2 linked regions of the Alligator mississippiensis genome follow. The protein of the gene in region 1 interacts with the protein of each later gene in a pairwise test. Links are inferred from orthologs where the notes say so. Each region holds a gene or a part of one and is shown on either strand. Other genes may lie near its edges.

Evidence for each region.
Region 2: the proteins of SALL2 (region 1) and ZMIZ2 interact in binary tests that used the Homo sapiens proteins (3 or more experiments, as listed by UniProt). The two-hybrid records come from large-scale screens. The link is inferred for Alligator mississippiensis from reciprocal best matches to the Homo sapiens genes SALL2 and ZMIZ2.

Annotation. Positions count from the first base shown.
Region 1 is NC_081830.1:3,903,712-3,914,658, reverse strand, and holds the start of SALL2 (sal-like protein 2), read left to right. Parts: upstream 1-6,641; 5' UTR 6,642-6,730; intron 6,731-6,832; 5' UTR 6,833-7,730; coding exon 7,731-8,436; intron 8,437-8,696; exon of another isoform or gene 8,697-8,844; coding exon of another isoform or gene 8,845-8,860; intron 8,861-8,993; coding exon 8,994-10,947. UniProt on the Homo sapiens protein: Probable transcription factor that plays a role in eye development before, during, and after optic fissure closure.
Region 2 is NC_081830.1:10,035,229-10,046,101, reverse strand, and holds the start of ZMIZ2 (zinc finger MIZ domain-containing protein 2), read left to right. Parts: upstream 1-5,314; 5' UTR 5,315-5,449; intron 5,450-9,595; 5' UTR 9,596-9,646; coding exon 9,647-9,696; intron 9,697-10,105; coding exon 10,106-10,220; intron 10,221-10,447; coding exon 10,448-10,650; intron 10,651-10,873. Other genes in the region: OGDH (2-oxoglutarate dehydrogenase complex component E1), read left to right, coding at 108-180, 1,611-1,774, 2,133-2,287, 2,853-2,973. UniProt on the Homo sapiens protein: Increases ligand-dependent transcriptional activity of AR and other nuclear hormone receptors.

The sequences.
Region 1 (10,947 bases):
CCCAGGAAGATCAGGCCCCCTCGCCCCTGCAGAGACTGATGGTACCAGGACATTTGGTCTGCAGAAGTGACATTCTGGTTGCATTGGATCAGGAGCTTTCCTCCTTCCACGGTGGTGAGCCGGGGTGGCTGAAACACCTGGGCCAGGGCCCATCTCGCTGCCCCTGGAGGAGAGGCAGAAAGTGAGGGAGGGTGAACTTGCCCCCACCTGGAATGTGATTTCTGGATTATATGGGGCAGCAGGAACCAGGGGCATTGGTCCCAGACAATTAGTGTCACAAGTGATAGCAAGAGAGGTGCAGGGAGGATGGAGGGATCAACTGGAAGACACTGAAGAGGGAAGGAGAGGCAGATGGAACAGGTGTGTAGGGTGGATGGACAGATAGAAAGAAGAAAAGAAGGAAAGAAGAAGCAATAGCCTTCCTTGGAACAAGGTAAGGGTGAAAAGTCGAGGCGCAACTGGGTTAATGGTACCCACTGCTGGGTTAATGCTAGCCACTGCTGACCTTTACCTTTGTCATTCTGCAAGGGTCATGGGTGGCCGTATGATAGCAAGCACTGGACAGAGGAGAAGCAAAGAGAGTCCTACTCACCAAGCAGGCAGAGCGCAGACAGGAGCCCCTCCATGGCGGTGCTCAGGGCTATCTACCACGTTCCCAGGAGCTCTCAGGACCAGCACGATGGTGTCTCCATCTTCCTAACCCTCGCTATCCTCCCCAATACACTGCTGCCTCTGATGGTACGAACCACAGGGCTTCAAAACAACACCCCCCTGCTGCCACCCTCACAAACAGGCAAACCACTTCCCTTCTGATCCTCTGAGCAACAGAATTGCCTGGAGTTTAAGGGAGAGACTCGACCATGATGTACTGTACAGCTATCACCATTGGTCATTACAGAGTCCTGCCAGGGATGGATGGATGGATGTAAGTGCACAGTTGCACTCACTAAGATGCTGTGGTTATAAAATAGAGTGGAGTGTTGTAGCTGTGATGTGTGTGTGATGTGTGATGTGTGTCCAGGACATAGATGAGAAGCCCTTGCCTTGCATAAAAATAGAACACCTTTTCTCTCCTTGTGTCATTTCTCTGCCTCTCTATCTATCCCCGCTCCCTTTCCTCTGCAGTAACCCTGCTCCCTCTGCATAGTCCATAGCCCATGATAGAGACCTGGCCCTGCCCAGTGCCACAGCTAGCCAGTGAGACAACCCCTATCCTACAAAGCATAAAGTCTAAATGCAAAAGGGTTGTGGACAAGTGGTGTTGTCTTGGACAAATCCCCTCAATTTCCCCCATGTTTTAGTGTCACCCATATGCTGTTTCAGGGACGCCAGGCCATTGTGAGTCAACCTGGTTCTGGAGGACGCTATCTCAAGGATTGATTCCCCCTTCCTGGCAGAAGTGTGCCCCCACTTCCCTGACTGTCCATGCCCAGCCCCAGCTCCCAGCCATCAGATTTTGTACAAGACAGAAACCCCCCCCACTTCAGTGTGCAAACATCATTTCCCCACACCGCCGCTAGAACGACTTTGCTGGAGGTACAGGCAACCAGTTCCCTACATGCCCGTGCCCACTGGGACCCAGGAGAGAGAGTGCACAGGTCTCAGATTAGTGAGAGAGAGGAGGGGGCAGGCCAGGACTTTGAAAACCAGCCTTGTTCTTCCTACTTCTCAGCTCAGCACTTGCAAAGGGGCTGTTTTGCCTGACATGCTGCTGCCCTCTGCCAGCCAGTCAGAGCATTGTACCCTGCTCTCACATGCCCAGAGCTCAGCCTGGGCACTAGCTGGAGTTTTGACAGGTGTCAGGCACCCAAGTCCAGGTGCAACCGGGGATCTGGGGGCCAAGTCCCCTGGATCCCAGTGCCTTTGGCCCTTGAGCTGCTTAAACTAGGATCCTCAATCTGTGCCCTCCTTTCTGGGAAGGAGAAGCAATGAAACTCAGTGGTGGAGATAATGTGTAATGCCAGAGGCATCACAACACACCCAGGCACCCAGGGCAGCTGCCACCACTGCAGTCCAGTGGTTGTGGCCAGGGATGGATCCAGAGGAGTGCAGTGGTGCAGCTGCAACCCTGTTTCAGATTGGATCCAGCCTGGAAATCTGAGCATTTTCTTCAAGTCCCCAATGCAGGTAACAATCCCCAGCTTCCCCTCTTGCTCAAAGGCACATCACCTCCCCTCTCCTTCCCTGTACCCTGCCTTCAACTGCTGTGTTCTCCACTGTCCCCTGGGGCAGAGCTTTCCAGCTTGGCTGCACAGGGTGGGCTCAGCTGGGAAGAGTGACCACAGCAGAGGCAACGGGCAAGGATGTCTCCCTACATCCACCCCTGGATGTGGGCCTTTTTTTTCATCCCTCTCCTCCCAAGTCAGCAGCCAAGACCCATCGTTATGTTGCCATGTGGCTCCCCGTCGTTGACTGTGTGTCTTCTGACAACCAGAATATCTACGGCTGTGGACACACGTACACTTTGAGCCCTTTCCAAAGGGGACCATGCAGCAGCCGGCACTGATGGTTCTCATTGTTGTGCACGATGAATCAGCTGAGAACAATTCAACTGTAGGGAAATGTAACTCAGCTCCAACTAACACAGCTTCCTCCAGAGGAAGAGAGGAAAGGCCCCCATGCATTGCAATGAGCACCTGGGGAGGCACAAGGAGACCTTCTGCCCTGCCCCTTATTTTTCCAAGAGGAAGGGGTGATATGAGGACCCAGTCATGGTCCGAATGGGTCCGCATGAGAAGTGATTTCCAAGCACAGATGCATCTTCAACCCAAGGCTGCTAGGAGGGGAAGGAGGCAAGCCTGGAGAAGGGCTGGGCTGTGGGAGGTTCTTGCACTAGGGGTGGATGGTGCTGCTGCCCTGTGTGGCTCAGGGCACAGAAATAAACAGCAGAGTCTGAGAGCTGGGTGGCATGGATCTGCAGAAGAGCCGTCTGCTGCTCCGTGTCCAGCTGGGCCCCCAGGTGGCTCAGGCTCCCATCCTGCCCGTAACGCACCCCCCGAGAATCAACCTGCAGCAGGTAGTCCAGCTGGTGGCTGGGGCCGCGCCGGTACCAGAGGAGGGAGGGGGCATATGTGGTTGTGTAGTTGCAGGCCAAGCTGGCATTCTCTCCTTCAGACACGGTCACCTCCAAGCGGACCTGGGTCACTGACTCCAGCCCTCCTGACACTGCAACAGAAAGAGTCGGGGCATGCATGGACAAGTGGAGATAGAGGTAAGTCAAACATGGCCAGACAGCCCAGCAAGCGGACTGGTACCTTCCCCTGTCCTCTCCTCCCACCTAGCCAGTCCCACTGCCCTCCCCTCCCAGAGACTTTTCCAAATTCCTGATTCCCTCCCGCATCTCCTCCAGAGCCCCTGCCCCTTTCCCCTGGCACAGCTGGGAGCCCTCTCACAGCTAAAACTCACCTGGAAGACAAAGAAAGAAGACCAGCAGGAAAGCCAAGGGCCTCATTGCTTCCAGGAGGGAGATCGAGAGAGTAGCCCCAGGGGAGAGAGGGGGATGGAGAAAGACTCCAGGAGGAGAGAGGCAGTTTGAGGAGCTCAGTCTGGTCTGAGGACCTGCAGAAGAAAGTATCTTCCCTGCTGCTTTGTGCCACATCTCAGGCCCTATGCAGCAGCCCAGAAAGGAAACAGGGTGGGAGGAGTAGGCATCTATTCAGAGGCAGCTCAGGCTTCAGGGCAATTCCCCTGTTGCTTGCTATGTTCTGCACTGCAACAGGGATACAGGGTGCCTGTGGGGGATTACATGGAGTCCAGATGTGCTTGCCTCCCCTGCATGCCTGCTTCTTGCTCTGGATAAGATGCAAGGAGCAGAAGGCAGCCCGGTCCCCAACCAGAGCTGTCCAGGCTAGAAGCACACCAGGTCAGAGAGACAGCTGAGGATTGCTGGATCCTATGCTGCAAGCACCTACGTGGTGGAGACACCCATGTGGCAGAGCCCTCTGAGTGAGGCCAGAGCTGGGTCCTGGTGAAGCTTTAGCTTGTCCCCTGCCCCATTTTACTGCCTGTCTGCAGCAGCTGTTCCTTGCCCTGTTCCCCTGGACTGCAAGCCTCTTGGGGCAAGGGATGTCTCTGTGTTATGTACTCATGAAGCACCCCATCGCCACAGGGGTTTGACTAGTGGCTGCTTTTCACTGCTGGGGGTGCAAATAACAAATGTTCTGAGTAGCAAATGAAATCAGGCTAGGAAGAAGATGCGGGTCTTCAAGGAGCAGCTGATTAACCCTTGGGACAATTTGAATCATCATCAAGAAGGTGAAGTACAGACTGGAAATAGGGTGCCAGGACCCAGATCCCCATGTTCCCTGCAGGCAGGAGGGAGTGGCTTGTTCCCCCACAACAACAGCACGAAACTTCACCCCGCCAGGGTAAGGGGTGGTGAGAGGGGAAGAGCTGAGTATCTCCTCCCCCAGCATGCTCACCCCTCTGCCCCCAAGATATTGCACTGCTCAGGAAGTGTCATCAGTCACTGTGCCCCCACAGTGCCCAGGGACAAGGCAGCATCCAAGGCCTGGGTGTTACAGAGACAAAGGAAGCTGTAGGAATGTGGTGAGTCACCCCGTTGCTGCTGACTGTCCCCTGCCTGGTCGATGAGCCCTGGGGTTTTGCCAGGACACTGTCAATGCTAGGCCAATCCATAAAAGCTGTCAGACTGGTACATGCAGTTGATGTGAGAGGTGCCCCTTTCCCTGGCACTGGCTGACCCTCCTGGCTGGCGCACTTTGATCTGGGCCATTGCACCTGGAACAACATAGTGCACATTTTCATTCCATCCAGGAAGAGCACACAGCAACTGCTGAAACTTCCTTAGCCTGACGAAGGGTTTCTGAACTCGAAAGCTTGCTTAATAACTATTCTCCAACTATTTGGGTTGGTCTAATAAAAGATATCAAATTCACCCAAGGAACCTTATCTGCATATAGTGCACATTATGCTTGCAGGGCATCCGGGAAAGCATTAGGGAGAGGAGTGCCAGCACAGACATGGACAGGCAAACATCCAGTGGGGACAGGGCAGGAGGGAGCAGGGCTGGCAAAGGTCACATCTGGATACCCCATAGCCACCCATGGAGAGCTGGCTGCTAGCTCTGTGCCCCACAGGCAGCTCAGTGGCTAGAAAAGGAGGCGGGTAAGCGGGCAAGGGTTTTTGAGCAGGGTCATGGATTCCCCTGCGCAGTGTGGGTCTCAGGGTGCGGTGGTGCCGGGACTGCCTGCAAGGACACTGTCCAGAGGTCAAAGGACACCATCTCATTCATTCCCTTGGTGTAAAGCTGCCTGGAAGTGCTCATGCTGGGATTCCCTCTCCTATAAGAGTGGCTGGGGTGGTCGCACACTGCAGGTCCCAGAACAGACCTGAGCTGGGAGCCTGCAGCTCGGAGTCACAACCTGAGTTGTTCACCACCGCTGCCCTGAGCTTCCGGGACACCGAGTGGCCACAGGTAGAGCCGGAGGTCAGGAACAGGCTGCATCAGGTATGTTAGGTCATGCGATCCAGGAAGCAGCGCTGGAAACGAGAGCATCAGCATCAGCCGGATGATTCAGAAACCCAATCCTCACTCTCTGCAATAGGAGTCGAGTACTCAGATGCCTCAGGCAGCTTTGGAAATCTCATCAGCTACTGAAAATCCAAGGGTTGAAGAGAACATGGGAGTGGTAAGGGGCCTGGCTGGAGACAGACGAACAGAGAAGTGTGTAAGGATGGGTGTATGGGTATCATCTGCCTGCCTTCTGTACCCATATCTGAAGGTCCAGGAAATGCCACCCACAAACAAGCCAAAGACACCTGCCTGCCTGCCTGCCTTCTGTATCAAAGGCAACTCCTGTCCTTCAGGGACCTGGCGCAGCTTGGAGGATATCAGAGGAACATCCAACAAGGAGGAAATGTGTCCTGGAAAAGCCTTAATTTATTCCAGAAGCTCCCCAGAGAGGCCAAGAGGCTGAACGACCGGAGGCTCACACTGGTGTCGTGGAAACACACGCAGCATACTTTTGGGTCAGGTCAGCAGAAGCTTTTATTCAAATGAAACTACAGCTGTAGGGGGGACCCCAAAGTGACATGGATTGCCCAAGCACTTGGAAGGGGTTCCCCCCCAAGAGCAAAATCAGGAGGCTTATATACTTTTTAACAGTCGCTTACAACTCATGTGATCGTACAGTGCAGTTTGCTAGGAAAAGCTGTTACAAACAAGCATTAGCTCATACTGCTTTGCTGTTATCAGGATGGGAACCATGGGGGAGGCGAGGTTAGTTCACAAACCTCCTTCTTGCACCTGGAAATCAGAGTTGTACATACCTTTTTGCTATCTTCAAGGCCGCGGTGAGCGAAGCAGTTGCAGAGGAGTCACAAAGAACACTTTCCCTTATCTGTTCTACTGTACAGAGCCAGCAATTCCCCACAAAGCGGTTATATCTTATAACTCGTATGATCAAAGTTTAAGGCATTTATTTTTTCTGATTCCACCCTGGGACCTCTCCCCGGGGTGCATGTGCAGGCATGGAGGAGATGCAGGAAACTACTCACGGGCCCAGGGAGAGCAGAGAGGCAGGAAAGGACTTCACAAGCTGAGCAGGAAGCACAGCAAAAGCCAGAGGGAGCTGCACCCATGCCTCTCATCACCAGATTCCCTCCCCGGAGGGGGAGAAGAAGCAGCCACCAGCAAGCGGGCATGAGCAACGATAGAGGCACCGACAGACCAAACAGGCCAGAGCAATGAGATGGACACGAGTGCATGGTGAGTCATCCCCAGAAGCCCCACTGTCCCCGCTCCTCTCTTGAGGGACTTGGCCATCTCTCCCGGTTCCACTGAGAGCGATGGTCTCTTTGCATGAATCAGCCCAGATGGAACAACCCTCCAAACCAGATGTGCCCCTGGCTGAGCAGAGACTGCAGGATCTCCCCGGTCTGGACATGGTTCATGAAAGCACTGTAATTACCAGCCCAGATGTGGTCCGCGTTTATGTCTCATCCATTAATTCCAGGTGGTGACTTATGCTGTTAGCAGAACCACAAATCCTGATGTGACTGACGGTGGCATCCCACTAACCCCTGCAGACGCAGCAGTTCCCAGCTGTCTCCTCTGCACAAACCCAGATGTGGCTCACAGCTGCATCATAATAGCTGATTACAGTCTACCAATGAATCCCAGATGTGGCTTGGCGATTTTGCTGTGTGAAGCAGTCTCACTGGGCCGTCTCAATGAATACCCTTCCCCCGTCCAGATGTGGGTGACGGCTGCCTGCTATCCCGCATTCCAGATGTTACTCGTGCCTGCCTCTCACGCGGAGGCCAACTTTGCGCCTGCCTCTCTGCCCAGCTGGGGTTCGCCGCTGATGCTGCCCCATCCAGATGTGTTCGGGAACGCAGGTGTGGGCCGGAAGGGACACGAGGGGCCTGCACTCAGTGTGCTCAGGCTGCTTCCCCACCTCTGGGTTCTGGATGTGCTGTTCCAGCCATCTCACACCCTGACTTCTCCCTCCTCCCTCTACTTTCACAACCCCCTGATGCTTCATGGAGAGCGCAGGCATCCGGCAGTGAGGAGTTGGTAGTTTCTTGCCCTTCCTTCCCTCAACTTCATCCTCCCTGCTTCTCAGCGCCCCGTTCCCACCCCGTCCTCTGCACGCACTATCCTGGGGTGACAGATAGCCGGATCCGGGGTGCTTGTGGGACCCCAGGGGCATGCTCCAGCAGCACAGAGCACTAACCCCACGGCATGGGGCGATGCAGGGGCCTGGATGGAGGTTCCCCATGCCCTCCCCTCGCCTCCCTTCCCCCCTCCGCCACACACGGCCGCCCGCCTGCGCCCCCTCCGAGGGGGCCCGCTTCCCCCGCCTCCCTCCCTCTTTCCGAGCCAGTGCCAGCCAAGTCTTTCACCCCATTGTGCCGGGGATTCATTAACATTCCCGCGGCGAGGGAGCCGCTTTTGTGGCGCTCGGGGGAGGTCGGGAGGCCACGGGGGAGCGGCGAAGAGCGAGAGGGGGAAGCCAGGAAGGGCCGGGCCGGGCCGGGCGCAGGGGAGCCCCGCGGCGGGGTCGGGGGCTGAGGGTGCGGCTCCCCGAGGGGCCTGGGCTCCTGGTGGCCTGCAGCTCTGTGACCCCCCCTGTCTGCCCCGGGGGGAGTCCCTGCCCACCCCCCCCAGCGGAGCCCGACGGCCGGCGCGGGGCAGGAAGGGGTTAAGGCGCCCCCCCATCCCGCGGCCACACAAAAGCCGGCGGGAGCGGAGCGGGACGAGCGCTTGGGGCCGCACAATGAGCGGCGCGGCCGAGGGGGGCGTGTCCCCGGCCCCGGCCCCGGCCCCGGGCCGCCCGGCCACGGCCGCAGCCACCGCCGTGCCGCAGGCTCCGGCCCGGGGGGGCCCCGGCCGCGGGATGTCGCGCCGCAAGCAGCGCAAGCCGCAGCAGCTCATCTCCGACTGCGACGGCTCCACGGCCTCCGACAACGGTGGGTGCAAGGCGGGGCGCGGGGACACCTCCCGCGTGCACACGTGCGCGCACACACACACGTGCACACAGGCGGGGCTATGAATGGCCTCGTGTGTGTGTGTGTGTGTCCCCCCCCCCCACACACACACCCCGCTTTGTAAGGTTGCCGGGCAACCCCGCGTCGCCGGGAGCCCGCCCCGCGGCGGGGTGTGTGCCGTGTGTCCCCCCCCCCGCCCCGGGTCCCCGCGTGTCCCCGGCCGCCGCGGCGCTCCGGACACCAGAGGTCCCTGCAGCCGCCGCGCCCCGCCCGCATCCGCTGCTCGGCTCCTCCCGCTTCCTCCTCCTGCTCCCGCTCCCGCTCCCGCTCCCGCTCCCGCTCCCGCTCCTGCTCTGCGGGCGCCGCGGCCCAGCGAGCTCCGGCCGGGCCATGGCCGAGGCGGCAGGTGCGCTCCCTCCCATCGGAGCCCCCCGCCTCGGGTGGGGCACACCGGGGGCACAGGCGGGTTTCGGGGGGCAGGGGAGCGCGGGGGGGGGCCGGGGTGCAGCGCTGACCCCCTTCCCGGTCTCTCCCTGCAGGGGACACGGGCGACGAGGCGGCCCCCTCCTCCTCCGGCCCCGCCGAGCAGCCCCCGGCGCCCGACAGCGCCAGCTCCTCCTCGTCCTCCTCCTCGTCCACCTCGGAGCCGCGGCCGGAGAGCCCCCCGGGCATGGAGACGGAGCCGCCTGCCCCCGCCGCGCCCGAGCCCCCCGCTCCGCCGCCGCCCCCGCCCGCCGCAGCCCCGCCGCCCGCGCCGCCCGGCGGCCACCTCAACATCCCCCTGATCCTGGAGGAGCTGCGGGTGCTGCAGCAGCGCCAGCTGCACCAGATGCAGATGACGGAGGAGATCTGCCGCCAGGTGCTGCTGCTGGGCTCGCTGGGCCAAGCGCCTGCCCCCGAGCCGCCCGCTGCCGCCCCGCCGCCGCCGCCGCCGCCCGCCAAGGCCCCCCTGCCCGTCTTCTCCATCAAGGCCGAGCCGGGACGGACCCCGGCGTCCGGCTCCCCGGAGCTGCCCAAGCCCGCCTTCTTCCACCTATACCACCCCTTCCCCCGGGGCCCCAAGGCCGAGCCCCTGCTGGCCCCGGCGTTCCCGGCCACGGGGCTGCTGGCCGCCCAGTGCCTGGGGGCAAGCCGGGGCCTGGAGCCGGCGTCCTCGCCAGGGCTGCTGCGGCCCAAGAACGGGGCCGGGGCGGTGGAGCCGGGGCCCGACGATAAAGCGGGCGGGCGGCACAAGTGCCGCTTCTGCGCCAAGGTGTTTGGGAGCGACAGCGCCCTGCAGATCCACCTGCGGTCGCACACGGGCGAGCGGCCCTACAAGTGCAACGTCTGTGGCAACCGCTTCACCACCCGTGGCAACCTGAAGGTGCACTTCCACCGGCACCGCGAGAAGTACCCCCACGTCCAGATGAACCCCCACCCCGTGCCCGAGCACCTCGACTACGTCCTCACCGGCACCGGGCTGCCCTATGGCATGTCCGTGCCCCCCGAGAAGGCCGAACCGGGCGAGGAGCCCCCGACCCCGGCCCCTGAGCCCCGCAAGGGCCTCAGTGCCACCGAGAGCCTCACGCTGCTCTCCGGGGCGGCCACCCCCACCGCCTCGCAGGCCCTGCCCGTCTTCAACAAGCTGGTGCTGCTGAAGGCGGCCGAGGGCCGGGCCAAGGGGGACGAGAACACCCCTCCGGGCCGGGAGGCCGAGGCTGCCCGCCTGCCCCTGGGCAAGCTGCCCGGCTGGGCTCTGCTGGCTGGCCACTTCAAGGCGGGCAGCACCGGCTTCCCCTTCCCCTGTCTGCTGGAGCCGCTGGGCACCTCGCCCTCCGAGACCTCCAAGCTGCAGCAGCTGGTGGAGAAGATCGATCGCCAGGCACCCCCGACGCCCGGGGTGGGCGGCACCGCGGCGGCGGCCCCCTCGCCCCCAGCCCCTTCATCCTCCTCCTCCTTGATGGCCGGCACCTCCCCTGGCGGCGCGGCTGCCCCCAACCAGTGTGTCATCTGCCTGCGGGTGCTGAGCTGCCCCCGGGCCCTGCGGCTGCACTACGGGCAGCACGGTGGGGAGCGCCCCTATCGCTGCAAGGTATGCGGCCGCGCCTTCTCCACCCGCGGCAACCTGCGGGCACACTGCGTCGGCCACAAGGCCAGCCCAGCCGCCCGCGCCCACAACTCCTGCCCCATCTGCCAGAAGAAGTTCACCAACGCCGTCACCCTGCAGCAGCACGTCCGCATGCACCTCGGCGGGCAGATCCCCAACGGCGCCCTGCTCCCCGAGCCCCCCGCCACCCTCGCAGGGGAGGGACCGCGCCCAGCCCCTGCCCAGCCCGCTGCCGAGGGGCCTGCCCTGCCCCGGGATGAGGAGGAGCTGTCAGAGGAGGAAGATGAAGACGAGGAGGAGGACGACGAGGAGGAAGGCACTGACGAGGACTCGCTGGACAGCGGCGCCGAGAAGCCCCCGGGCGGCTCTGAGGGGGTGTCAAGCCCTGAACGGGAGGTGCTGCCAGC
Region 2 (10,873 bases), about 6.1 Mb from region 1:
AAGGGGCTGGGGCCTCAGTGGTGCCCAGGCCTGACACCACCTCACTTGGGTGCTGGTGGGGCTGTACCCAGCCCCGCACCCTGACAGCTTTGCTTATGCCTTTCCAGCTCATTATCTTCACTCCCAAGTCCCTCCTGCGACACCCTGAGGCTCGTTCTGGCTTTGATGAGATGCTGTCAGGTATGAAGGGCACTGAAGTGCGGCATGCACGGAGCAGTGCAGAGGGGAAAGAAGAGAGCCGGGGGGGATCCTCTGGGGTTGGGTAGAGTACCTTATATGCTGGGAAATAAGAACATTGTTCTTTGAGAGCCCTGCTCTTGCCTGGTCCCCTGGAGGTGGGGATATTCCTTGGGGGTAGTTGGGGATCGGGAAGGGTTCTTATACACTGGGAAATATGGTAATGCCATTGCTTTCCAAGCCCTGCCCTTGCCTGGTTGGGAAATAAAGCAACATGGAGGTGTGCCCAGTTCGTGCCACAGGGGGGCAGCCTGCTCCCAAACATGGCTGCCCTTGGTAGAACCTGATACTCCTGTTCCAAGATCTCCCTGCTGAGCCGCTCCAGACTGGCTCTGGGTCAACAGGGCCTTCCCAGGGGTCTACCTGTGCCCCTCTGAAGCCCCAGCCAGCTCTAGCTCTGGTGCCTGCCTGGTGCTGCTACCCCTGAGCCGATGGGCCCATGAGGCTGAGGGCAGAGTACCCCAGGGAGCCTGCAAGGCGACTGAATGACTGCCAGGGTTGGGCTGAGCTCTCCCAGCCAGCGCGAGGGCTCCAGGGCCCAGCTGGAGACAGTCATGGAGAGGGGGGTGCTTGTGGGGTAACATACTTTATGGTGTATGACAGGGGTTCCTAACTCCTGGGCCACGGCCCAGTACTGGGTCGTGAAGGGTTGGCTGCTGGTCCGCAGGAGGGTTGGCTGCTGGACCAGAAGTCCGGAAGTGACCAGCATACTGTGGACCGGCAGCCAACCCTTTTTTTTTTTTATATTCGGTATAAAAAAGGGTTGGTTGCCTGCCCGCAGTATGCTGGTCACTTCTAGTCCTGTGGTTTGCCAGTTCGCAGCATAAAAAGGTTGGGACCCCCCCCTGGTGTATGACATCCCTCCCCCTGTGACTCCCCTACAAAAGGGACTCTAAAGTGAAGGTGCGTCTAATACGCTAATGAAAAGAAAAATAGTAGAAACCCTTGAATCTTGGTCACTTTTTTTTTTTTTTTTTTAATTTAAAAAACAAAAAATTGGAATAAAAACTGGATTGCTGCACTTTTTATCTTCTGCTTTCATACCCTGCCCTTTCCAGGTTCCTCCAGGGGTGGGGACAGTCTTGTAGAAGGGGATGTCTTATGTTGGGGAATATGGTAACCTCATGTTCTTGTTACCCTGTTCTTTGGAGGGGGGGTGCATCTTGTACATGGGGAACAAAGTAACACAGTTCTTGAACAGCCCTGCTCTGGCTGTTCTGCTGGAGATGGGAATAGTCCTGCTGGGGCATGTTGCACATTGGGAAATACCATAATGTCCCTACTTTCTCACCTCTCCTTTACCATATTTCCCAATGTGTAAGATGCCCCCCTACCTCCAAACAGGCAATGTCATGCTTTGGCTCTCCTCCCAGGCACCCACTTCCAGCGTGTGATCCCAGAGGCCGGCGCGGCAGCCCAGGACCCAGCGGGCGTGCGGCGGGTGCTGTTCTGCACAGGCAAGGTGTACTATGACCTCACGCGGGAGCGCAAGGCCCGCCACATGGAGGCTGAGGTGGCCATCACCCGGGTGGAGCAGGTGAGCATGCCTCAAACCCGGGCATCTGGGGACCCCCCTCGCCCTGCTATCATGGCTTCCCTCGCCGTGTTATCCTGGCTTCTCTTGCTGCCATGCCCCCCCTTCTGACCCTGGGCACCAAAGCCAAGGTGATTTAGGCCTAGGCTAGAGGCCATGGTGTAGCAGAGACTCCCTTTAGCAAGGCAGCAGGGCTGATGCTGTGCATATGGGACTCAGGATGGGGTGCCCATGGATTCTCTATCCCTCCTGAGCCTCCTCGGCATCATGTTGCCTATCCAAACTGTCAGGGAGCCCTGATTTTCCATCCCCCAACCCCAGTGCCAGGCAGCTGTACCCACCCCCATCTCTTCTTCCACAGCTGTCCCCCTTCCCCTTCGACCTGCTCCAGCAGGAAGCTGAGAAATACCCCAACGCTGAGCTGGCCTGGTGCCAGGAGGAGCACAAGAACCAAGGCTACTATGACTATGTCAAGCCACGCCTACGCACCACCATCAACCGAGCCAAGCCCGTGTGGTATGAGCCCTTCCCCACTCCTTGGGTTGGGGGAGGGGGTGGTTTGTGGAATCAAGGACTATAGTGGCTCATGGAACTGGCCTCCTGGGATGGGGGCAAGGGTGATGCCTCCTCTGCCAAGGTACGGAAATGCTGGGCACAGCTGAGTCCAGAAGGTGGGGGTCTTATACATTGGGAAATATGGTGACATAACTGCTTTCTTGTTCCTGCTTCTGCTTGTGATTGGGGTGGGGCAAGGGCAATCTTATACACTGAAAAATAAAGTAGCATCAGGCTTTCCTGCTCGTGCCTTTGCCTGTTCGGAGGTAAAGGGACTTCTGATGCATTGGGAAATATGGTACCCTCACTGCTTTCCCAGTCTCCCCACAGGGCAGAGGTGGGAAAGCAATTACTGTATTTCCCAGAGCATGATGTGCCCTCCCCCTTCAAACATGAGTGCTGTGCCAGCTTGCAGTGGTGACCTTGGGGGCAGACCTGGGGGGATCTTAACTGGCCTCTCACTCTTGTCTCTGTCTGGAGTCCCAGCACTGCGGAGCTGACATAGACACCTTTTCTTGCCACCCAGGTACGCTGGACGTGACCCTGCAGCCGCCCCAGCCACGGGTAACAAGAAGACGCATGTTACGGAGCTGCAGCGCCTCCTGGACACAGCCTTCAACCTGGATGCCTATAAGGCCCTGGCCTAGGCCCAGCGCTCTCCAATGGACCCTTGGAAGCTTGGGTTGAAATCCAACACCCCCCACCCCCCACGTACTCTTCTTCCCCCCTCCCCCGAAGCACTGTCTTTGCCCCTCTGTGCCATGGAAGCTCCTAGTCATCCACTGCTGGCTCTTGCCACAGCCCAGGCTGGCAGGAGTCCTCTAAGGCCTAAGTGTGGCTTGGCCAGGGGATGCAGGGTTTTCCCTTTTGTCCTGCCACTCCTGAGTGGCTCCTGGCCTCCCTGCCTGGCTGTAAGTGGTGCTATCTGTCCCCTTCCTGGCCTACGGAAGGGCTGGACTCTGCTAGTACCAGCACAGGGGCACCTCTGCCTTTTTCCTGGTGTCACGGTGGCCCTGGCCTGGGTTGGAAGTAGCTCTGTGCCCCCCTCCAGCTATCCTGCCACCTGGTGCCATCTGCTGCTCCCTTCAGCTTGGGGATCTGGGCTTGGCTCTGACTTCCTCTGTGTGGCATTAAGGTCTCCCAGGCCTGTGCCAAGCTCAGATCTCACTTCTACTAAAGCTGGGTAGCGTGGTAGGGGACAGGGGCTGGCACCGTGGGCAGCGCTGGCCCTTGCCCTCACTGCCTGACTTATTTATTTGGGGTATTTTCAGTTCTGATTTTTCTCTGGCTTCACCAATAAAATGTCCAAGGCTCTTCCAGGTCATGCTGTCTCCTGCCTTCAGCTTTCCTGCCTGCCCTATGCCAACCAGGCACTCAGTGCGTTAGGTTGCTTCCTTTCCCATGGCTCCCAGTTTCCCCCTTGCCTGTTGGGTGAAGCCAGGCATGAATCCTCTGGGCCTAGCAGCTCCTGTTCAAAGGCCTGGGGGTGGATGGGGGCAGGGGAGGACTTGGGGTTCACGGGGCAGTATTGTGGGGACGAAGCCAATACTGGCAGTAGGAGGATCCCAGAGGGTTTGTGGTGGTTGGGAGGGCTGCAGGGGGCACTAGTTCTCTGTGGCATGGGGAAGCCTGGTGGCTGTGCTGAAAAGCAAAAGCACTGGCCTGAAAGATCCCAGGGCCCTGCAAGGCTGGACCAGAGCCACTACGGTGTAGGATGCCACCGCACAGACCTGGGTGCTGCCATGGGAAAAGAATTCTCCACAACCGTGGCAATGAGACAGGAGCTGCCAGGCTGGCAGCACCAGGGCAGGGCAGAGCCTCTGGTGTTGGTCCTCCACTACAGGCTCCCATTCTTGGAGGAACAGAGGAAGGCAGTGGGACCCTGCTCTGGGCCAGGCCTCTGTTAGGGCGGGCTGGGGAGAAGGTAAAGAGGGGCCAGAGGTGGCTGTGGAGGCTGGGGCAGGGCAGGGCTCAGAGCTGCATGTAGTGAAGGGGTCCCATCCTCGTGCCCTGGGTTGGGTGAGGGTGTGCAGTGGGTGGATGTCTGGGGTCCACGTGCATTAATTTGCGGCTGGGATGCCTGGGTTCTGCACGGGGGCCCTGAGGAAGGCTGCAGCCAGTAGGGATTGGAGGAGGAGGGTTAAGGTGGCACCTGGCCCTGGGGTGGTCTCAGCCAGGGTGTGCACACGTACACCCTTGTACACATGGGCACATGCACACCCAGAGAACCCAGCAGGGGCAAGGGCAGGTTCCACAAGCAAACGCGGACACGGGGGGGGGGGGGGGGGGTGCACACCTGCACGCACACAAATTCTGGGCATCTAGGACACCCACAGAGCCTAGGCCTCTGGGGGACATATGCATACACACACTCGCAGGAAGCCCAGGGGTCTGGGACACAAAAGGGCACATGCACAGACACCACCCTGGTGTCCGGGACGTGCACACACACAACCGAGGCAGCCAGGGTGTGAACGCACACATGTGCACGTGCACAGGCCTGGGCCCTGCGGCTGTGTAATGACAGGGAGTGGGGTGCTGTGTCGGGCTGTTAACTCTGGAACCTACTGATGCCCGCCACCCCCCCAGGCCTCCACATGGCCCGGGGGGGGGGTCAGGCCACAGGTGGTTTAAGGGGGGGCGGGTACGCTGTTGCTATAGCAACCGGAGGGGGGGGGAAGAGGCCGCCTTTGGGACAGGAAGTGCAGACTGAGACTTAGCCCTAATTGGTTGCTCGGGGCGGGGCTGCCCTTGGCCAGGACTCGACGGGCAGAGGAAGGGCCAACGGGAGAAGCGGCGCCGGCCGGGCCCAGGGTGCGGACGAGACGGGGCGCGTCCCAGCAAATCGGGGGGCTGGATGCAAATGAGATGCAAATGAAGGCCGGCCGAGGCGGGTGCGGCAGGCCGGGAGGAAACAGGCCGGGCGGGGGAGCGGCGCTCGGCGCTCGGCTGCTCAGGCCTGAGCGGGGCGGGGCGGGGCGGGGCGCGCGGGGATCGGCTCCATTGTGCAATCGCCGCGGCGGGGATCGGGCGGGATCGAGCGGGACCGGCGCTGCCATGTCCGCGGCCCCGGGCTGAGCTCGCGCCTCCCCCGCACCCGGCCTCGTTGCCGCCGCGGGCAAGGTGAGCGCGGCGCGCCGGGTCCCCCGGGAAGGGCGGGGCGGCGGGGCCGGATCCCCGCGTCGGATCCCCCCGGGGCCGTCCGGACCCCGCAGCGCGCGGCGGGGAGCGCGGCCCGAGCGCGCGGGGGCGCCCGGCCGGCCCCGCCGCTGCCGGGGCTCGAACCCGCGCTGCCGCCTTTGTCCCGCGGCGCCCCCCAGCGCCGGGGCCGCCCCGCCGCCATCTTGGGGATGGGGGTACCCAAGGGGAGCCGTCGCCATGGCAACGCGGGTCTCGCCCGCGGCCCCCCCCCCGCCCCGCCAGCCCGCCCCACGCGTGGGGAGAGCGAGGCGGGCCGGGCCCCTGGGCGAGCTCGTCCCGCCCGGCGGGGAAGCCATGGCAGGCTCGGTGGAGACCGGGGGGGGGGGGCTTCCTTAGTCTCGCCCCGCACCCATTTCTCAGGTGAGGAAACTGAGGCAGAGCGGGGCAGCAGCTAGGGGAGAGCCCAGGTGTCTGGGGGCTTTGTTAATCTCACCCTGTGCCCGTTTCTCAGGTGAGGCAGTGGCTTGGCAGAGGAGAGCTCAGGTGTCCGGGGGGCTGAAGAGGCCCAAAATGACTGAGCCTGCAGGCCAGGCGAGGCGGGGGTGGGCTCTGGGACGGGCAGCGTGGGAGAGCAGTTAGAGGAAGCGGGCGACTGCTTGGGGTCTGCTGGGCCAGGCCAGGCCGGGCCTGTCTCGGTGTCAGGTGCTGTACACGCAGATCTGGGCGCGACCTGGCCCCCAGGAGCCTGGTGCAGACACCACATAGGTCCAGAGCCAAGCTGAAGTCATTGCCCCGCTCACTGGCTATTGGCCGGCTGGATCCCGGCCCAGCTGCGCTCGGTGCTGTACTGTGCTGAAGGGTCTGGCAGGTGGGTGTCCTGGACGTGTGGGGGGAGGATGGATGCTTGGCTCCTGTGCGTGCGCCCTGGTCGCTCGGGTCCTACATGCGCGTGTGTCCCAGTTGCGGGGGGGCGCGTGTGCGATATTTTTGTCCCCGTGAGCCCTGGGTTGCATGTGCATATGTGTGCGTGCATGCGAGCGTGTCAAATGCCTGGGTTCAGTCTGTGTGTCTGTGTGTGCGCGCACATGCACGTGCCTGTGTCCCAGACACCTGGGTTCTGCGTCTGCTGTCCTGGGGCTGGGGGGCTGTGTGTATGTGTGCGTGCGTGTGCATCCTGGACACCTGGGTCCTGACTCTGTGTGTGTGTGTGTGTGTGTGTGTGTGTGTGTGTGCTTGCATGCTCATTAGGGGGCATGGTCTTGGCCTCAACGTGTGCATGTGCCAGGCCTGGCTGGATTTCCCAGGCAGGGCAGGCCCCGGAAATCCCCCCAGGGCTTTGCCATGGCCTGCTGTGGGGAGGGAGGGCACACTTCTTCCTGGCAGTGTCCTTAGTGTGACTTCCCCCACACGCACACAGGCAGTGGCTGGGATGTGTCATCCCCGCCCCCACGCGTGGGCCGTTGCAGAGCTGCCAGCAAGAGGAGGGCTGGGGGGGGCCATGTGTCACAGCAGCATGTGTCAGTGGTGGTGCCAGCCCTGTGTGTGTCATGGTAGCCCACAGGTCAGCCATCCTGTGAGCTTCATGTGTGTCGCAGTAGCGCATGGGTTAGCAATGGTGCAAGCCTGGTGTGCATCACAGCAGTGTGTATACGTGCAGCTATGACCCTGGTGTGTGACACAGCAGTGAATGGGTCAGTAGTGGTGTGAGCCCCATGCGTGTCATGGTAACACACAGGTCAGCAGTGATGTGAGCCCTGCATGTGTCATTGTGCATAGGTCAACAATGGTGTGAACACTGCGTGTGTCATGGTAGTGCACAGGTCAGAAACGGTGTGAGCTCCACATGTGTTATGGTAGCACACAGGTCAGCAATGGTGTGAGCTCCATGTGTGTCATTGTAGTACATTGGTCAACAATGATGTGAACACCTTGTGTGTCATGGTAGTACATGGATCAGCAATAGTGTGAGCTCCATGTATGTCATGGTAGCACATGGGTCAGCAACGGTATGTGTTGTTGTAGTACATGGGTCAGTGATGGTGTGAGCCCCTCGTGTGTCATTGTAGCCCACAGGTCAGCAATGGTGTGAAAAATGCCCGTGTCATGTTAGGACACGGGACAGCGGTGTTGTGAGCCTCATGTGTCACAGTAACGTACAAGTCAGCAATAGTGCAAGCCTGGCATGCGTCACAGCGGCATGTATCAGCAATGGTGCGAGCCTGGCATGTCATGGCAGTGCATGGGTCAGCAGTCACATGAGCCATGTGTGTCATGGTAGCACACGGGTCAGCAGTCATGTGAGGCCCATGTCTGTCATGGTAGTGCACAGGTCAGCAATGGTGCAAGTCCCGCATGTGTCATGGTAGCAAGTATCACTGACTGCTAATCTATGCACTGCTGTGACATGCCAGGCTTGCACAGTCACGCTGGCCCCATGCGTGTCATGGTAGCACATGGGTCAGCAGTCATACGAGTCTGGGACATGGTAGCACAGGGGTTGGCAGTTATGCAAGCCACATGCATGTCATAATATCACAGGGGTCAACAGTTGTGTGAGCCTCACATGTCATGGTAGTACATGGGTCAATGCTTGTGTGAGCTCGTTGCACGTGGCAGCAATGCCCATGCGAGCTGGAGGTGTTGCTCCTCTTGGGTTCCCCCCAGCCACAGGGCCAAGGCCAGAGTTACCTCTACGCTCTGACCACTATCCTCCTGCTCATGCAGGTCAGCTCTAGTGCTCCCAGGTGGGCATCGCACCATGCAGCGTGCCCAGTCCTGCTGCCCACATGGCTGGCAGGGGGGCTGGCTGGGCCAGTCCATCCCCTGGGCAGAAATGTTTTGGGTGCCCTTCTGTGCCTCTCTCAGCCCCTAGTCCTGGGGCCAGTTGGATGCTGCCCCCTGCCCTCCTGCTGCAGCTGGGAGAGTTAAGTGCGTGGGGAGGGTTATCAGAGCGGCTTGGTTACCTAATGGTTATAGCAGGGTGGGGGTGCAGGGTCTATTCCCCCCTGACCTTCCCCCTGTGCCTCAGTTTCCCCCTCCCAGCAGGCATCTGGGGTGCTTCCATCCCCTGCCCCCTGGAGCTAGGGGGATTAAATGCAGGGCTGTGGGGAGAGGGGATAGCAAAGCAGCCTGGCTGCCTAATGGTTAGAGTGGGGTGGGGCAGCGGGTCTGGTCTCCCGTGCCTCAGTTTCCCCCTCCCAGCAGGCCTTCAGTGGAACTTGAGGTGACGCTGTCCCTTTAAGGGAGCTGGTTTGGACTGGTGAGGCTAGGAGTGGCTCCAGGAGAACACTGCGTTCTGCCTGCCCAGGGGAGTGGTGCCGGGGCCTGCCAGGGGCTGGGGCCCCTGGGTGGGGGCCCAGACACAGCCAGCTCTGGGGTGGAGCAGTGCCTAGCCCGAGGGCCCCCTGCTCTTCTGCCTCTTAACCCCTTCCTGCTCCCCCCAAGTCAGCTCAGCACCAAGAGGCTCTAGTTGAACCGTGCCTCAGTTTCCCTCAACCCATGCTGGATTCCAGCCCCATCCACCAGCCACGGTCTGGCTGAGATCTACCCAGTGAGCTGCTTGTGACCCACCAGGGTAGGGCAGCAGGTTGGCCTGAGCCCTTGGGAATCCCCCGTCAGGACTCCTGGGTTCTGTTTAGGCTCTGGGCGGGGGAGGGGAGGTTGTTGTCAGGAAGTCGGAGGCCTGGGTTCTCTCCAGCTGTGGGAGGGGAGAGGGGTTAGGTGGGTGTAGGGGGTGGGGATGCCTGGGTGGGAGGGGAGTGGGGCTGGGGGGTGAGAGGAGGGGCCCTGGGAGCCCAGACTCCTGGGTTCTCCCCAGCCAACACCAGCATGGGGGCACAGGGGGGTTCTTCGACCCCATGCCAGGGTTTGTGGGGGCAGGAGGGTTCCCTGGCCCAGCTGAGGCAGAGGCGGATGGGAGACGCGAGCCAAGGCCGCGGCGGCTGGGCTGGGCAGGACGCCAAGTTCTCTCCCAGGTTGATGTCGGCGCTGCCAGGAGCGAGGGTGAACGCTCCCCCGGCACAGCGGGTCCTGCTGGGGGGGGCCTGCTCAGCCCTGCCTGACTGGGGATTGCCTGCCTGCCCCCCCCCCCCAGCACCCCCTTCCAGCTGATGCCTGCTTGCTCCCCAGAACCCTCTGGAGTTGCCACCACCCCTGTGGGTGCCCTGGGACACGCCGCCGATGAGCTCCATGAACCCAATGAAACCTTCTCTGCCACCCACACCGCATGGGTGAGTGCTGGGGGCCTGGCTGGGGCTGGCCACATGGCCAACAGGCATGGGGACATACTTGAGCCACATGGGCCTGGGCCAGTGTCTTCTCCCCAGACCCTCCCAGCCACAAACCCCCCTCAGCATCGCCCTCCCCCCTCCCCAGTCTCCACAGATCCCCCATTGTCTCTTGACCTGGCCACAGATCCCCCGCCTGTCCTCTATGCCCAGGCCATGGATCCCCCCACTCCCTCCCATATGGCCACAGACCCCTCCCCAGCCACGGATTTGAATCCTGGGCCCTGGAGCCCCTAGCCAGCCCCGACCCGCACATATGTGTTCACAGCCACACTGGTCATGCGTGACCTGTGTTCCCTGTTCCCCCTGCCAATCTTCCAGTCTGTTAATGAAGTTGTTTTTCATTTCCTAGTGATGGTTCATTTGCATACGAGTCGGTTCCTTGGCAACAGAACACCAATCAGCCGGCCGGATCTCTCTCCGTGGTAACCACCGTGTGGGGAGTCAGCAACACGTCCCAGAGCCAGGTACCAGTGCCCGGAAGCTGGCACTGGGAGCACAGGGGGGATCCCTGACCCCAGACCCCCCCCCCCTCCCCTCCCCTCCCAGTGGGTGGGGGTGCCCAGTCTGTGCAAAGTAGTGTCATGGAGAAGCCCATGGGCCTGATTTCCACCTGCTGGGCCTACCCCAGGTGCCACGTGAGTGTCATGTGGGTTTTGATGGGGCCTGTCTTTGACTCTGCTTGCTCCTGTAGGTGTTCGGAAATCCCATGGGCCCCGGTGGGAACACATCTGGTACCTCCATGATGCCCGGTCTGGCTAGCAGTGGCTCAGGCATGAGCTCACCCCCGTTCCTGGCTCAGCAGCCATTTGCTGAGGGCGCCGCAGGCAAGGGCTACGTCCAGCAGGGTGTCTATGGACGCGGTACCTACCCTGGCGGGCCCAGCTTTGCAGCTAGGTAAGGACAGGAACAGCACCAGGCCCATGGGTGCACCCTCCCTCCATGCCTGCCCCCTGTTCCTGGGCACTTGGCAGCGGGCAGCGATCTCAGCTGGGTGCCCTGGTGTTAAGGGGATTCAGTGTCTGGGGGCTGGGGGAGCTAGGGACTAGGTGGAAACATGGGGACCTACACGGCTTGTCCCATTTATGCCAAGAGTCACCCTGGGCACACAAGCCGCTGT